Linked DNA regions of Drosophila melanogaster. Changing the gene in region 2 together with the main gene of any one other region gives a genetic interaction. Each region holds a gene or a part of one and is shown on either strand. Other genes may lie near its edges.

Region 1 (4,831 bases), 5.5 Mb from region 2:
AGGCTCAATAGAAGGCAACCGAGGGATCTCATTTCCCGATCTCCTTTGACAAGGGTCAGCAGAGAAAAAATATTGCATACTTTTCAGCTTGCTTTGTATCTCCAATTGCAGTCTACTTTTCTGCACCCCAAACAAATGACTTAAGACACAAACTTACACACTAAGCTAAGGACTTAAGACACGAACTTGCCAAGAAAGTGCAACACAATTTTAAAACTAAATATTTAATATATTATTGAAATTCATTTAACGCCTTCCTTTTTACTAATATCTAGGAACACTAAATAATATATAAGTTTACCTTTGTTGCGAAGCAAATTAGTTACAAATTTCCTTAAAATTCACTTTTATTTCATTTTTCTCTTTACTAATAGCTAATTGTTTTTTTTTTACTCTTGTTGCAAATCTAGTAGCATGTTCAATATAGCCCACGAAAATTGCTCATTGTTATTAAATTGTTTGCTTGACAGCCATTTAGGCACAACTTTTAATTAATTAATTGGCCGGGGGAAGTGATGGTTATTAATTTTGATGGCATCTTTGTGCGCATCTTGGGCTGCACTTGGATTCACTGAGTGCCCTTTTCCGAATCACTAAACCAGGTCAAGTCTGCTGCTGACTCACCTGATTGCCGTTTCCGCGGCACAAATAAACAATAACAATCATAATAATAATGCTAAGAGAAACAATACACACGGCGACACATTAATTGAAAGCTGAGAAGCAGCGCCGCCAGCATTAAAATGCGAAAATACCGGGCATTTGTGGATGGATCTCGTTTGTCTTTGCTCGTTTGTCGCTGCTTTCCTCTTGTGGCAACAAAAAGAAACAGAAAGCCGCGAAGACGACACTTTCTTCCAGTTTATTGCATCAACGCTGGCATCGCCGAACACACCAAATGGCAAATGGAAAATGGAAGCGGGCCGGTAGCAGGTGTCAACAAAACAGGGCAGGTGCCACCGAGCCCATGAAACCCACGAAAACCACAAAGCCAACATAGCCAACAAAGCTAACAATCCGACAAAACTCACAAACATTTAGCTGAGAAAGAAAAAAGTGAAATAAGCTATTTGGCAATAGCATTGCAGGCCAGTTGGTCAACTGAAGTGGCAAAGGGGGTTAAGAAAATTATGATCTTTAAGGGTGTTAAGAGGTGCCCTCTGTTTTTTGGCTTCATTTGATCGCTGGCTCGTGATATAACTCAAGTAAACAGAAAGTAAATACTTATTTTAAAGGTGAAACAACTAAATTTTACATTTCCAATTGGCTGTTCGCATTAGACTTATTGATTCGTGCAGCTATTTAAAAAATGTATTTGCTCAATACTCCTATATACAAAATATTTTTGGCTAAGATACTAATGAGCATGGCAAACGCATCCATGCGGTTAATACTGTAATTCAAAAAGCAAAATTATAAACCTTTCAAGGCAAGCTGCTTTAAGTGAGTATTAAACAATACAAATAGTTTAATAATCTACAGACTTTAGAGTTTGTTTCTATTAACCTTTCGTTCATAGCATCAAAACAAAAACATAAATAGTTAAGTAAATATGTATGGGAGAGGAAGGGGATGGTCAAAGTTCGGAAAAAGTGAAAGAACAGAGAACGGAAGAAAATAATCATTTAAGAAATTATACTCATGAAGATCTGTGGGTTTTTATGAAATGGGAAAGCCGGAGAGTTTGTGGGAAATTTGCAAGCTGCTTTCGATCCAAAAGTTCGCACATAATCCGATGGGTAAAAACTATAAATTATATACCCATCCCGGATTTTGTCGTGGCAACAGACTCATTAAATAATAATACGAGTTTCCAAAGATTTTTTAAAGGTTGCACTGATATCAAATATTTCGGGTAGCACTTAAAAAAATATAGCACTAAATATAGAACCATAGTCAATAAATTGATATTTCTTGCACTCCCATATTATTGTAGAATTTGCACTTGTTTGTAGTCTTTATCGACATATTACTGTAACTAATTGATTTTGGCGCTCGTCTATTTTTGCAGCTAATTTGTGTTCTGGTTTGCCGTTTTTGTTTATTTTTTCTAGCGATTTCTTTTACCTCAATTTGATGGCAATATCGCGGCACTTGACGCATGGCACCTGGCCGGATTCCTTGTCGGGCACTGCTGCACTGCCTCCTTTTTCCGCTGGAGCTATTGTGGCATATTGGGCCTCCTCCTTTTCCGGCTGCTCATCTGCCTTCTCATCCGCCTCCGTTTCGCTTGCGAAATCCACCACCAACTCTTCGTTGGATTCCCGGTTGGATGTAACCACTTGCCTCTTGCTAAAATAGCCCACATGTTGGTCCACTCCCGCATTGGCATCCAGCAGGATGCGCTCGTAGGCGGCGCTCTCGTTTTCCGAGAGGGCAAAGCGCTGCTCGAAAACCCGCACGGGCAGCGAACTTTTCCTTAGCACCTCCATCCGCTTGTGCCGCAGCTCGATGGAGAAGATCAAGCGGACGCGCACCAATCGCCGGAGACCCTGATGCGTTGACCTGGCGCGCTGTAACCTCCTGCGCTGCTGTCTCAGCTCCAATTTCTCCAGACCCTTCAGCGATTTGGGATCGACCAGACCGTGATTGTAATCCTCCACTGCTGTCAAATCCAAAGCGGATCGCGTGCGACGCCAGGGCACCAAGTCGAAGTGAGCACCCGCCCAGGGATGGAAGTTCACCTGGCTGACGTTGGTGCTGCGATCCTGCTTGAGGATCCAATCCGATTGCTGCTCCTTGGTCACACGAACGTGATCATTCCGTGCCGCTGCCTGCGGCTTGTGGCGTTTATATCGCGGCACCAGTGTCGCCTCCAACATCCGAGCATCCAGACCGTAATCGCGACGCAGCTGCTCCAGCTCCCTGCTGCTGGCCGTAAACTGAGCACCGTTCCACACGATCACCGGCGCACAACTGGCCATTGGATTCGTTTCGTGGCTTGTTCCTCTTCTGGTTTTGGTTCTATATACGTATTTGTACGTTCGTTCCCACCCCGAAAATTCGTTCCCCCAAATTCCCGAACTAGTTGACTTTATGTCACTGATTGCGTTCTGTTTCTGATTTTCTGAAAACCCGCTCGTTTTCCGGTTTCCGCTCGGCAATGTCGCGTTTGTCGCGTCCGCGCTCCGTGACGCCGGCGACGCAAATGTTCGCTGGCCAAAAAAGATACAACTTCAAAATCCGCAGTCGGATTCCTATGCAAAAACGTTGCGCCAGCTGCGCTGCCAGCCAAACGCCACTCATGATTAAGAGTTTTCTGTTGCTGCTCTTCTCTGTTATTGTTATTGTTATTGTTGATGTAAATGTTTTTGTTATTGTAATTGTGATTATGGGCTGTTTTGTTGGAGCTGCTGGTGTTGTTGGTGCCGCTTTGTTTGCCGATATGCCACTGCTGCCGCAGCTACACGCAGCTACAAATATTGCAAATGCCCATTTAATATCTACTTAAATTTTTTTTTATTAATTTTAACACACTTAACTATAATGAATACTCTTAATAATAGTAATAATTGTAATTTTGCAAATAAAAAAAAATTAAATACAATATTTACAATCTAAATGACCATATTTTTCAAAACAAAATGAAAACAAATTTACTTTTAAAAAACATTTTACCTTTTTAAATAGGAACTTGAGTGACTTCTGCGTCATTTAATACCTATTTCTTTAGTTATTTATTTCAAGTGTGACAGGATCGACAACTTGTAAAACTGTTCAATTATTCACTAACGGTCTACTTCTAAAACTTAGATTTATTGTATGACTTTACTGCTTTTTATTTGCAAGTTTATTTTCGTATTTAAACATTTTAATTTTTATCTTACTTTTCACTCATTTTAAATCACTTTCTAGCAGGTTCGGACTGAAGCTATTAAAGGTGATTTACATCCACTTTGCCCGGACTCAGGCTAGCATTTTCTCTCTGTGCACGTTCAACGTTTGCTCAATATTGAAGAGTCGCGGGCTTAGCTGCCCCTCTGATTGTATTATTTATTTATTTTTCACGCTCACTGCCATGTCAACTCTGCTCTGGGGCAACCCTCTGACGGCGTCGACGTCGACGTCGCTTCACTCGGCTGAGCACGCGTCAGCAACAACAGAAACAACAACACTGGCATGCATAGTAATATTAACTAAAGCCCATAGTTGTTGGTATTATCACCGCTGTTGCTGGCCATTCTGCAATTCGAGTTCACAATTCTATTCTCGGCTAATTGACGGCATCGGGCCATTGGCATTGTATTGGCCAAATTAACCAACAATTGCGACAGTGAAATAGGCCCTTTTATAGTCCACATATATAGTACAAATATAGGTTCATAAAACAATACTTGAAACGAATTAATCATATCTCTTAACTATAATTTCACGTTGATCTATTGGAAAATATTTTTATTATTTATCTGTTCATGAATTGTTGAAGATGTTATAATATATTTTATCCTATAACTATAAAAAGAATTATTTAAAATTACGTTTGTAAATATTTTAAATATGTAAATATTTTTTGTAAAACATATTTGTTATAGTACATAATAGTCTTTATAATTATTTCAGCTACTTAAGGCCAATTTCATCATCGTTTTCCATTTGCCTTGATCGAAGTTTAGCTAATTTCTATAGAAAATATGCAATTAAGTTGCAAAATATCCGCCTAGTGTTTATAGTTCTCATTGCCTTCTAAATCATTTGCCACACGAAGTGCCTATTGTACTCGAGGCATGCCAAATATCAATTATGCTATATACTTTATAGTATGTAACTATATAGAGTTTGTGCCCCTAGAACGGGCTCAACTCAGGCGTGGCGAATGTAAATGAATTGGGGC
Region 2 (5,193 bases):
AATTCTATTTTTTTACGAATTTTTAAAAATTTCCATGCCATTGTACGACTATACGCCCTGTTTTGACCAAGTTGAGGGAAAACTTGTAAGAAAACTCTACGGATTGTATTAGTTGAATATTTACTTTTGACCGCATTGTTCTTTTTGTAAGCTCAACTCAACAACATTCCTAAGTGTTTGAGATATCTTAGCTTGATGAGCCCCATTGGGTCGATCAGCACTCTCACTTTTCTAACCGTTTCGTTGGGCCAAAGATGCACTAAAGGCCGAAATGTGCCACGAAAAGTTTCCATTTCATTATGGAATGTTTGTAGAAAGGCAAAGAACAGTTAGACGACGAGACGCCGGCATCTCAAGCTCAATAGACCCCCCTCCCCACCACACACACACACACACTATATTTTCCAGTGTCCGAAGTATCTTTGATGTTGGCTGAATACAAATTAACATTCTGTGAAAGAAAAGACTTGTCGACGAGGTTTTATCTTGTATCCGCATCTGCATATTGTACACGTCTTCGTATCTCTGTATCTGTATCTACTGTATTCATGTATCTGCTGCTTCTACGATGTATCTGCAAATGTGGATATGGTATATGGATGTGAAAGAGCACTGGGAATAGAATTTACTGGGTCGATCGCGGCAGCAGCTCATAAATTATGCGTCATCGATGAGTGGAGTCGAGGGGCACGGGAACAATGAATGAAGAAACCAAGGAACAGAATCAGACCTTGAATCGAAAAGTGTTAGGCGGTAAGGTAAAGCCGCTTAGGGTCCCACCAATAATGGTTAAAGCCAATCATTTGAGGCCAAACAAAGAGATAGTCCAGCGTGGAGATAGCTGCCGTTGTCCGATATACTGATTCCCAATAGCGATTCCGAATGCGAATGCGAATTGCGACAACGAGACTTGCAACTTGCTGGTTGCAACCTGGCAACTTGCATTTATGGCCAAGTCGCGTGTTTGTTTGCTGCTGCCAATCTGGCCTCCTGGAATTGAGTTTATTGTGCCACAGCGGCGTGCTTTGGATTGTCGCATCAGCTTAATTAGAATTCGAAGTAGTTAACGGTGCATTTAATGCGCTCCAAAACGGATCAAATGCATTTGCACCGCTACCACTCACTTCTCCATCTACTTGGCCCCGTATCTGTGCAAAGATCTGTTCTATTTATCTGCTCTTCGCAGACTAATGAACCAAGTGCCAAGTGACGAAAGTTGTCATAACATTTCATTTGCTGCCTGTCGCATTGCCACACGGTTTAATGGTGGCAATGTGGCCAGTAAAAGATGTCAAAACAGTATGCTAATAAACGTGCTTTTGGCACTCTTATCCTCGCATTATCTGTCTGGCTTGTATCGAACATCGTCGTCTGGCTTGTTTAATTAATAAGCACATACTTTACATCCTTTGATTTAAGTTTGCTGGGGAATCTGATATTAAAAGCTTTATGGCCAGATAAAGACCACCAATAGTTGACTGCCTTATAAGATACAACGTGACCACAATTTCTTTTAAGAATCCTTACAGAGCAAGCTTACTCAACTATATTCTATTCTATATCTTACCCACTAAGTTTAGTAGTTTCAATAAAATATAGATAATGTGTGTAACTCACCGATAAGTTGTAATCTTTCCGAAGGTCAAGACACAGCTGAGTGTGTTACAGCTGCTCTGGACTCCTTATATTTCCGTTCTTTTGTGAAATCCCGGCTCTGCGTTTGGCAAATGCATTAAAATGTGAGTGAGGCACAAACAACAACAAAAAAAATAGCTAAATGGTGTAGCATAAAAATGTACAAAGCTGAGGAGGACAGAAGTGAAATCGGAACAGAACGGACCAAACCGAACCGGACCGCCTAACACGTAACGCAAATAAAGAAGAATCATCATCGTCATCAGAGACTTTTCAGTCCGAGTGAAGTCCGTGCTCATGGCGACTGATTGATGATTAGTTGCCATTTGACAGGTGTATGCGAGTTGTGCGGGGTGGCCGGGGACAGGGTGTGTGGGGGGGGGGGGGGTTAGAGAATTGGGGGCTTTGGAGTTCGGTCAATAAATAGTGCACCTGCTGGGCGTGTGGGAATACGATCCGCCAGATGACGTTGCTCTTTTTTATGGAACTCTAGCGTCTCGCGTCTCGTCTTCTTGGTACGTGTGATTGTTATGACTAACTATTATTATGTATGATTGTTATATTTTCCACACGGGAAAAACTTTGGAAAGTGCCAGCCGCCAAGGCGCAGTGCATGCAATACCTTTGATTTTGATTTCGATTCTGGCCAGGCTGAGAAGACACCACTCTGCTGGCAAGAGGTGCAGCAGAAGAATCAGTGGCAAAAGACGTGGACGCAGGGGCGCACAAGAAGCGGAGGCAACAAGCCAGCCGCATTTGTGCTAATTGGGAAAATTAGAAAGCATGAAATGCTCGGCTGCATTTGCTGTCTAGCTGGTTAATCGGCTCCACTGTCGGTCCAAGAAGACGAGGCAGAAGATGCTGGAAAGACTAAGATTGGATGTTTCACAGAACTCAAGCAATGCAATTGGCTCTGCGGAGAGAGGAATACGAATAAGATGCAGGAATGACAGATCCTGGATAAAGTCTTCACAGGAAGCAAAAGAAATAGACTTAAGATGTTGGAAAGCCGTGGACTGGCTTCTCCAAAGAATAGAATAAGTTTCTGGTTGCAAATCGTGGATATTTCACACAACTCTAAATTCAAATTGGCAATATGACAAAAACAAAAAAATTATTTGCTTTTGGATGGAAGAAACACTCACTTCGCGGGAACGTTTCTTCTCAACTCTCTTCTCGTTCTTTCTCGGTATCTTGCTAAGCTTAAGCAAGTAACGGTAACAGGCAGTGGCAACAACAAGAACAATAAAAAAAAATTGCACTAACACTTGTAAGCACTTCGGGTGGTGTTACTTATTTGATTTTCTATTTTATTTGAAATTTATTTATTTTATCAACATTTGTTGTAGGCGCGACTGGGCAGCACACTGGGCATCGGATCACGGATCACGATCACCGATCACGACCGTTAGCAGCAGCAGCACGTGTGGACTCGGCGAGCGACGAACGCGAAATACGCGAGCCAGCCAGGCGATACTTTCTTTGGCCTCGTAATGTAACTGTCGGGAACAGCAGCCGCAGCAGCAGCCGAAGAAAGAGGCAACAGCAGCAGCAGCACAAGAAGAAGAAGAAGCAGCAGCACAAGCACAGAAGAGTGAGCAAAAGAGAAAGGGGGAGAGAGGCAGCGCAAGAAGCTGGCAAAGCTAGACACGCACACACACACACACACACACACAAGCACACTGAGAGAGTAGCTCTGCCTGCGCCGACTGCGACTGCGCAACGAGCTTTTTACACCTGCGTTGGCAGCTGCGCAAATGAGCACAGCTCAGCCAGAACTTGTTGTTGTTATTGTTGCGATTGTTGTTGTTGTTGTTGGTGGCGCTAATCAAGCGGCCTAATGACATAGAATAGCCTGCCAATTAGACGACCAATAAAAAGAAACTTACATCTAGCACTTCAATAAAAATACATTCGAACGCCCACTCAATCAGCAGAAGATCGCGAGATTTTGAAAACTCCTCCTGCAGGAAAATGGCAACGCAGTGGAAAGCTGGCAGCGCAGCCGACGTTGACGTCGGGAATTTGGCGCACTTGAACTTGAACTTTCGGCGCGCTCGTTTCGTAGAGAAGCTTTCGACTTAATGGATACCCCTAAGTGTTCCCCATACATTAAATGATTGCATTATGAAACACGTAATAGGATTATAAGAAAATCTCGATGAATTTGAAGCTTATATTTATTTAAAATAATTTAATTATGAAACGTAAAAAACTCTTCAAAAGTAATAATTAAAATGTAAACACCTTGATACCATTCATGAAAAGTATAACGATTAATAACAACTTCATACCTTATCCGAAAAATACTGCACGCATGCAGGGCGAAATATTGTAGCCAGCTTTTCAGGTGGGCAAGGTGCATAAGTTAGCGTTTTGGGTCTGGGAACCGATCTGCCGGCTCATAACGGTTAAACAGTTTTCGCCCGTCGTTGACAACTAATCAAGATGGGAACAGAAGTTGATCAGAGCTGATTTGAGCAATAAACAAAAAAAAAACAAAATCCGTTTCCTCTTGCGATCTTAAGCTCTATCTCTCTTTAGCACACATCGGAATTGGCAAGCTTACACATACATTTGCACGCCAAGAATCTGCAACGGTTTCCATGCTGGCTCTTCTTTTCCTCGTTCTTCTTCTTCCTCTTGGTCTTCTACTTGGCAGCTGCTTTTCTCCATATTTGTTGTTAGTGTTTGAGAGGCTGCTCCTCGCTCCACACTCGCTCTCTCGTTCTCCCTGTCTCTCTCCGTCTCTTTCCCACGTGCTGGGTCTATCTCTCTTTGTAGACTGGGCGCATTTAAACGGTAAACATCATGAATGCATTTGGAAAGTGGTTGTGTTGTGGTTCGTGGTGTTTGCATTTTGCATTTCTTCGCATTCTTTTCTGTTTATGTGGCTGTTGCTGTGTGTTGCATCGCACAATTGTGCCAACAACAAGGCGGAGAAATGTGAAGAGCCAGAAGAATCAGAAGAGCCAGCGGCAGAAGCAGAACAACAGCAACGGTAATACCCACCGAAGACGGCGTTTTCATTTCTGAGAATTGATTGGCCGTCGGGCCTACATACTCCACACGCCACTGCGACTGCCTCTTCCAGAGTCTCGGCTGCCACATCGGGTTTTTTATTTAGTACCCTCTTCTTTTGAACACCTGGGAGCATGATGTCTTTAGCGGAAGAAAGTGGAAGAATCCCTGGGCTTCAGAAGAATGTGAGCTAACAAACCTCCTTAAATTTAAGTTTCCTTAAGCGAACTAGTTTATCCGACTTTCTTACCATTTTATATTCGTACTTTTGCGAGTTTTCCTTGAAATTAATTTATAAAAAGATATTTTACAATACTTCCACTTGAATTCTTCATTAATAAACCAAATTCGTTTAAAACAACATATTCTAAACTGTTTTAATTAATCAATTGTAAAAAGTATTACATACATTAATTTGAAGTGGTAATGCTAAGTATAATCCAGTTCGAAAAGGTAGCCTCAATCTTTTGGACTGCTTTTTTTTGTGCCTTGATGCATTCCTTTGGATTCAGTACCGCTGCTGCAGCAGCACCTGTC

Evidence for each region.
Region 1: of m (region 2) and f, changing one enhances a phenotype caused by changing the other (phenotypic enhancement), as found in Drosophila melanogaster (one study listed by BioGRID).

The regions. Positions count from the first base shown.
Region 1 is NC_004354.4:17,257,568-17,262,398, reverse strand, and holds the start of f (forked), read right to left. Parts: upstream 3,026-4,831; 5' UTR 2,925-3,025; coding exon 2,068-2,924; intron 1-2,067.
Region 2 is NC_004354.4:11,752,170-11,757,362, reverse strand, and holds the start of m (miniature), read right to left. Parts: upstream 3,091-5,193; 5' UTR 2,781-3,090; intron 1,715-2,780; 5' UTR 1,618-1,714; intron 1-1,617.